Mus musculus: one gene and its partner. The protein of the gene in region 2 purifies or fractionates together with the protein of the main gene of each other region. This does not show direct contact. Links are inferred from orthologs where the notes say so. Each region holds a gene or a part of one and is shown on either strand. Other genes may lie near its edges.

Evidence for each region. The genes of interacting proteins can lie anywhere in the genome.
Region 1: the proteins of Gli3 (region 2) and Btrc purify together in Homo sapiens (affinity purification with western blotting, with the first as the bait; 3 studies listed by BioGRID). This does not show direct contact. The link is inferred for Mus musculus from reciprocal best matches to the Homo sapiens genes GLI3 and BTRC.

The regions. Positions count from the first base shown.
Region 1 is NC_000085.6:45,510,155-45,513,801, reverse strand, and holds part of Btrc (F-box/WD repeat-containing protein 1A), read right to left. Parts: intron 1,158-3,647; coding exon 1,061-1,157; intron 416-1,060; coding exon 278-415; intron 1-277. UniProt on the Homo sapiens protein: Substrate recognition component of a SCF (SKP1-CUL1-F-box protein) E3 ubiquitin-protein ligase complex which mediates the ubiquitination and subsequent proteasomal degradation of target proteins. Recognizes and binds to phosphorylated target proteins.
Region 2 is NC_000079.6:15,462,184-15,466,630, forward strand, and holds the start of Gli3 (transcriptional activator GLI3), read left to right. Parts: upstream 1-1,539; 5' UTR 1,540-1,928; exon of another isoform or gene 1,929-2,435; intron 2,436-4,447. UniProt on the Homo sapiens protein: Has a dual function as a transcriptional activator and a repressor of the sonic hedgehog (Shh) pathway, and plays a role in limb development.

The sequences.
Region 1 (3,647 bases), on a different chromosome or scaffold from region 2:
AGAGTAGCCTATAATTACGAAGGCCCAAATAACAACAGCTCCCATCAGCACACTTCTAGAAGGGAGTCCAACCCTGGAACTACACATTTGTATGATCCTGTGGGGAGAAGCAGACATTTGCCCTTTAGGGAAATGATTTTGGCTTTGGTACTAGAACCAGTCTACAATTCCCACTTCCTAGAAAAGAAACCACAATCAAGGCCAGGCTTCAGACTGCTCTATGAATGTGGTCACCCTCGCGCCAACAATGCTCCTCCACTGAAGTGGGTCCAGTCACCTTGATGGTGTTGTCTCGAAGGCCGCTGACTATCTTCTGGTCGTCGTACTGTAAACAGTAAACCCCTTTACTTGTTTCACTCCGGCAGTGGATTCTCTGTAAACTATGTCGCCCACATCTCCAATTGGACTCTATTGTCTAAAGAGGAGGATTCAAAGAAGCAGTTAATTAGCAAAGAGGCAAACCAACAACTCAGTGTGTGTGAGACTCTATGGCCTGGTTCTCAGCCTGTGGGTCTACGGCCCCCTGGGGCCTGATCAACCCTTTCACAGGGGTTGCCTAAGACCACTGGAAAACAGACATTTACATTATAATTCACAACAGTAGCAAAATTACAGTTAGGATAATGTTTTATGGTTGGGGGTCACCACAGCACAAGGGCTGCAAACAATAATTAGGAAGGTTGAGAACCACTGCTCTATGGGCTACATACAACTAAAACACTAACAGGTGGGTACCAAGTCGAGCTGCACACCCGCCCAGTGGCGTCTCAGACACATCACACAGTACTCATGCCCGCTGATGACCTTGCTTGAAAGCTCATCAGCGAAGGAGTACAGACATCACTCTGCCATTTTAGGAAAGCTGCAATCCTTCTCCACAAAGGTTTTAAAGCTGTACAAAAATTGCCTAGGAATTTTCTACACTTTATCAACCTTATTCTAGTAAAGATATGATTGTAACTTACACTGAAAAGTTTAATGGGTTTTCTATAGTGCTGTGACTTAAGCATACTCATGATTCCCTACCACTTGGCAAATGTCTGGAAACATTGATTCTTACCTCAATGTCTTGTATGATTTTAGGATAAAGCGCTCTATAAAAGGAGTTGGGAGGAGCGTTCTCATCAGGAGGTTTGTTTTTGAATAAGTACTGTCCCCTACAAAACAAATATTTACCAATGAGAAGGTCATGAATCCACTTAGAAGCAGCTTTATACTTTTTCAAAGTGTTTCAGCTACCACCACACAGAACTTCCATTAACTGGCCTGGCAAGGCATGAGGGTCAGGTGATTTTGGGAGTCCTGTGTCAAATGTTAACCTGGAATCTAAGGAACTGGACCAACATTGACTCCAGTGCAGAGCCTCAGAGTACCAAGCCCTTTGGGATGCTTCAGACTGATAGTGTGCTCAGAATCCGTCTACTGGTCTGTTAGGCTTCTATACATTTACTGACTTTATAATTTGACAATAATGGCGACTCTTCTGGTTAATAAGAACTATTCCCTTCTCTCCCTTGGGGCTGTGGCTTGAACCCAGAGCAGCGTGCGCAACGGGTACAGTAGCTACTCTACCGGTGTGCTGCCGTTGAGCTGCACAAACCCGAGTCAAGCTGTACCAGTGGCAGAGGACACCTAGCATGCTGGGTCACAGCAATGATTCTGTCATGATCGAGCTGTGCTATTTATCACAGGGTAAGGCGTGTGTGCTGGGCGGCTGCTTGGTCACCAGGGCTATTCCTGGTCACTCTGGGAGTCTTCCAGAAGAGCCAATTCAGTCCATACAACAGAAACAGAGGACTGCATGCATGTCGAACGGCAGGGAGGGAAGAGGTGAGGAGAAAGGCTAAGCACACCGTGCCATTATATGTGAGGCAGGAAGCTCAGAGGTGTGTTCCTATATGCACACACAGATGCATTTCCTGACTTTGATTCCAGCATGCAGCATGATAGCATCTCCTTCCTTCTGACAGCACATTTCTGAACGCTCACATCCCAAGCTAGATTGATACCAAAAAAAGAAAGAAGGAAAGAAGGAAAGAAAGGGAGAAAGGGAGAAAGAAAAAAAGGTAACTGGCAATCACTTCCTGCTGGGTAAAAAATTTAATTCCTTATCCTGAAGTTAAGAACCCACCGAACACGGTGTGGAAGCTACTAAAGCCCACTATGGGTGTGCTAACTGCTGTTCTCACTGGCATCGTGCCCTGCAAAGTGGAGACAGGCAGAAATGCCTCTGAGTGTAATCCTGGCACCAGAGAAATCATGTTTTCTCTGGGCCAGTCATCCACTTGTGCCTCTATAGCTCCATTACAATGTAATTAATTGTTCAATGTCTCCAGGAGAGCTTCTCCCGTGCCCTCTCCCTATTATACACCTTGAAAATTAGCTGAGAAAATCTCTATCAGGAAGGCAGCTGGCTCTGATGGCTAGCTTAACAGAGAAAAGAAAATTCACACTGGGGAAGTGAAAAGAACAGGTTTTTTTGTTTGTTTGTTTTGAAAGGACTATGAAATAGGATACACCAACATAAAGAGCAAGTAAACCACTTTGAGAAATAATTCTGGATTAATGGCCTCCGTCTCTGAACAGTTTGATTATATAAACACTTTGCATGCAGATGAGATTTCTGTTGTTTTGCAGTGCCCACCATTCCTGAGATTCTTGTCTTCCTCTGAGTCTTTGTCATTACTATAAGGGTACTCTAGGATTTCCCTCACATCCAGTAATAGTTTCTCTGTATCCTCAGATAACAGGACTCAAATGACTCTCTAATCTTGTTTTCTAGCCCACTGCTTTTCCTATGCCTTACAAACATACATCTCCAAATCAAAGATGCTAGAGAGACTAGATATCGAGAACCAGCTTCTTAGTCTCTATCTGTTTTAAGTGATACTCTTTTCTGGTGTCTGTTCTTTGACAACAGGGACCACTTCTAGGAGAAACGCCTGGTACCTAGGAGAATGTGAGTGCATGATAAACGTGAAATATTAAATTTAGAATGTTATCATAAAATGTGATCTCCTGATTAAGAAAATGGACTTTTCCCAAGTGGTCTTTTATCATCCTTTTAAGAGTTACCATTACTGAGCAGAAAGTATTATCTACTGTTATTTAAGAGAGAAAACTGCAAAGTTCATGTCCTAGGGGCAAACTGTCAAATCCATCTGGGTATGAAATATAATAGCAAAATGGAAGTTAAATCTTGGTGACTCAAATTGTTCACGCCTTTGATCCCAGCACCAGGAGGCAGGGGCAAGAGAGACTTTCAGAGTTTGAGGCCAGCTTGGTCTACAGAGTGAATTCTAAGACAGCCAGGGCTATACAGAAAGATCCTGTCTTAGAGAGAGGGAGAAGGAGAGGGAGCGGAGGAGGAGGAGGAGGAGGAGGAGGAGGAGGAGGAGGAGGAGGAGGAGGAGGAGGAGAACAACAACAAGAACAAGGAGGAGAGGGTGGAAATAGGGAATTGACCCTAAATTCTTCCTTCTGAGTAAGGGAGAATCCCTGTACTCAGAAGATGAGGCTGGAGGCTTGAGAGCAAGCTGGGCTACACAGCAAGGCCCTCTCTCAACACCACTATCACCCTGAACAGAAAGACAATAAAAGAAATGGGAGGGAGGTACACCTGGTATTACCTGGAGACACTAAGCACA
Region 2 (4,447 bases):
TACTGAGGGGAGGGTTGGGGCTACCTCTGTTGATATTCCTGCACTCCGAGATGAGTGAAGGATGTTTCACTCTTTGCCTTACAGAGTGTTGTAGCGGAGAGAAAGCTTAAAAATGGCTAAGAAGTGTCTGGAGCCCCACACTGAAAGCTTAAGTCACTCTCTGCTTTTGTCTTTGTCATAAGCAACAAGTCACCAGAAACAAATAACGAATACACTGTCAATTCCGTTAAAAATTTTCCCCAGTTTAGCACGTGAATTTCAAAATGTTCTTCAAATTATTATAGCTATTCATCCACCCACTCTGCCTTCAAGACGGCTGCCACAGAGCACCCTGAGCACCAAGGCACTCCTGGTGGGCCAACTGCTTACTCCGGTATTCTGGAATGTCTCTTGGGTTTTCTTCTTTCTTCCACCCCCTTGAAATCCTCCCTTTCAAGTAACAGGTTGGGGTGAGTACCTGGATGGGGAGAGAGAGATGAGTGCACTGGCCCGTTGAAGTAACATGGGTCTTTTAAAAGAAACCAAGGACAGGCACTCTGCATCTTAAGGAAAAGAACCCCGTGCAAGTCAGGGTTCTCAGCTCAAGTCCCGGTTCCCAGCTCGGGTCTTTGTGTTCTTTGCAAAGTGGCCCACGGGGACAGTAGGCTGTACGGCGAGACGTCCCAAACGGAGTTTAACGCAACGGGGAGGAAAGTCTTCAACTTTCAAAAGCATCATCCCGCGAGAGGAAGTTTCAGGCTTGGCCTAGGGAAAAGTACCAGGAGGTGTGCGGGGGTGGGGCAGTGGCGATCTGAGAGGTCTCTAGAGAAGGAAGGGGAGTCCAGCCCGAGAGCGGAGTTGGGGGGGGGGGGGGCGAAGAGAGGCGGCATGGGCGAAGCGCCCGGCAGCGCGCGAGCCCCGGCTGCTCGGCTGCGCGGGAGCGCAGGCCTGGAGGGCTCGGGTGACATCACCCGCGGGCCCCTTCCTCCTGCCGGGTGGGTGGGGCCTGGCGCGCCGCGCGGGCGCGGGGTCAAGGAGGGGGAAGAGGAGGAGCAGGCCTGGATGTGTCTGTGTGAGGACCCGGGAGGGGCGGAGGCGGTGGAGCGCGTGGCTCCCGGCTGCCCGCGCCAGCCCTGCCCGGCCCGACGCGCGGCCTCAGTGCCGCCCCTCAGCGCAGCGCCCTGGGATCCGCGCGCGCGGAGCGGGACCCCGCCGGGCGCGGCCTGGAAAGGAGCGGGAAAGCAAAGTAAGGCGAGCAGTCTTCCCAAGTTTTTAAACCAACTTCGCCCCCTGCGGCGGCGGCGGCGGCGGCGGCGGCGGCGTCGTCCCGCGGCTCGGCGCGTCCCCCCCAGCGCTCCTCCGAGTGGCGGAAATTAGAGGGACGGGGCGGGGGTGGGGGCGCGCGAGGGAAGAAGGAGCCGGGAAGGAGAGCAGAGTCTGACCACATCTGTGAAAACTTGGGGAAGGAGGGCGGGGAGGAGGAGGAGCGCAGGAGCGCGCGGAGGGGAGCGCGAAGGGCGCGCGCGGCGGAGCTCAACTTTTGCAACCGGGGCGCTCGGCCTGGACGGGCCCTTAGTCGTTGAAAAGTCGACTTGACGGTCGGGGGGCTCCTTTCTTTCTCTTTCTCCTCCCACCCGCGGTTGAACCAAATCAGAACTGTCACTCAGGGCCGGTGACTCAGAGGGATCAGATTACAGGATCCCTGAAACTGATGCGCGGGCTGCAGCGGCGGGAGGGAGCGGACCGGGCCGCACCGCCGGCGCCCGCACACTCGTCCGCCCGCCCGCCGCTCCCCTCCTCGCCCGCTCGCCCCGTCGCCGGCCCACGCCACACCATGCCCGCCGGGGCCGCACGCTGGGATCAGTCAGGCCATCCACGGTAGCCCGAGTCCGCCTGCCGCTCCGCCGGCGCAGGTCTGTGGATTTGGGACCTGACAGCCAAAGCCGCAGGTACGTCCCGCCTGAAGTTCTTTGTTTTGCGGGCCCCGCAGCCCTCCCTGTCGAGCTTCCCGGCGGCGTCGGAGCGGCTTGTGTGCGCTCGCGCCTTCCCGCGCTCTCGGGGATCGGGTCTCGGCTCTCCGGACTGCAGAGCTCCTGCCCCAGGGCGCGCGGACCAAGTTTGCAGCGGCGGCGTCCGTGCCTACTTCTCGCCAAGTGCTGCGCAGAGCTCCGGGAGTCCGGAGCTGCGGCTGGTCCTCGCGCCCCCGCAAGCCGCAGCTTGGCTTGCGCGCAGCGCCTGGGGATGCGCCGAGCCGCCGCTGCCCCGCTCTCCAGGGTCCCGCCTTCACTTCTGAGGGTGGGGGTGCGGGGTGAGCGGATGGAGGGCGCGCCTCCGCGGTGGGAGAGGAAAAGTGAAAGTTGTGCCATCTGTGCGTGATTTGGAACTCTGTCTCTTCCTTTCCAGAGGTAGAGCAGAAAGAAAGAAAAGAGAAAGAAAGAAAAGTAGCCGTGGCCCTTGCGGTAACCAAGAGGCCGAATTTGCACAGAGCAGAGTTGGGTACGGATCACTCTACTCTGCTGGGGACACTTAACTTTCTGGAGTTGCAGTGGGACCCCGAGGATGTGGCAGAGTTAATATTGATCATACATTTGAATAGTTGGTGAAGCGACTTTTCAGCAGATGGCCACATGCCCTCACACTCGGCCCGGCCTTTGCTTATTATCCTTTGATGAACTTAGTATCCTTCTGTGAACTTTGTGCCTGTGTCCCGGAGTGCACCTTTTTGAGTACCAAGCCATACCCCCCCTCCCCCCAGGCTTTCTTGGCTGTGTGTGTGTAAAGACCACTTAGGGAAGTTTCCTGCACCGCGTTTACCCTTTCTCCTCCCCCAACTTGGTTGTAGATTCTGGCCTTGGGTACAGTGCTCATGGCCCTCTGCCAGTTTATATGTACATATATTTATGTAAAACATTTTCTCCCAGCTCTGTGCCAGCTGTTCCACATTTTCCAGCTGCCACTTCAGTTTGAAATGATGGACTGTCGTCCTCAAGTAAAAGAACTCTTTAGTCCGAGGTATGGAGGGCCGGCCGCTGTGCAAATACAGGGGCAGTGCCATTAGCCCCGCTGGTATTATTAGTTCCAAAAACACCTCGTGCCCTTCTTTTCCTCTCCTTCTCCTCCTCAATTACAGCTTTTCACAGCCCAGTACGTGCACTCTGCTGAACATTCAAGTGATTAACCCCCCACTCCCCTTTCTAAATGATTTTGTGCAGAACTTGGATGAGGCCGGCAGGCTGGTTAGCTAGCTTGCTTCTCTTTTCTTTCTTTCTTTCTTTCTTTCTTTCTTTCTTTCTTTCTTTCTTTCTTCCTTCCTTCCTTCCTTCCTTCCTTTCTTTCTTTCTTTCTTTCTTTCTTTCTTTCTTTTCCTGAAATATGTGTCTGGTGGAAATAACTTCTAGAAAAAGAGTTGCAGCTTGAGAGCATTGGGCATGGCTGGGGGAAGGGGAACTGTGCTCTGCCATCTGAAATAATCTCATTTTAGTCTATTTTAGGGGAAACCTTTCCTTCGTTCTCATGTCACAAGCTTGCACTGTTTGATGTCTTCACGAGTTATAGACTGAATTCTTCAAGAACTGGCCTAAAGTATTAATTTTGAGTATTTATGTAATTGCTCTGTAATTTGAATAGGTGCCTTATTGATTGATTCCTGTAATTATTTCATTTGGGTTTTAAATTAAAAATTAATAATAGTCTGACAGTTTCTTAATTACACGTGTCAAGATTATTTTGAAGCAGGAAAATGCTGTTTTAAAATAGTGAAATAACCTCAGAATCACTTCATTTTTCTAAGGCAGCGCAATAGAGGATATATTAAAGCAGTGGAGATTGGTTTTAACAATGTAAACTGTGCAGAGTATCTACAGAATTTGTTTATGTTAGGAAATATTGGCTTTAACAATCTGGTCCACGAGCTCTGTGGCCAGTTAGATTATAGTCAGACCTTAAAACAAACATGAAATAACATTTAAATTAGCTGAAATTGCATATTTATACAGAGCAGAGAGTTTATTTTACACTAAAAGCTATTTAATTAGAAACTCTCCGCCTAAGGGGAGATCCTTTCAGGGTACGTAATTCTTAAAGTCAGCCTAGGGAAGGCTGGGTTTAGCTGCATGAATAAGTTCAATGTGAGAGGTGTCTGCTGAAATTTCACACAGGCAGAAACACTTTAAAAGATATAGATTGCTTTATTGCTAATAGACTGGCAGGCTTAGCTCAGATGCCTACCAATTCCCTGTGCTTTTTACACACTCCTTGATTGAACTCCAGTGTCCTTACAGTTTTTATTGTATGTCTAATTTGCAAAGGAGAAAATTCAGCATTGATGAAAAATAACTCTGTCGCGTTATTTCATTGCTTACTTAATGAAAGCATTGTTAATTTAACAATTGGATTCCAAGGCCTAAAAGTTGGACTCTCCTTTGTTTTGAAGCCAGTGAAGTTTTCTTAATTACCTGCATGCTGCAAG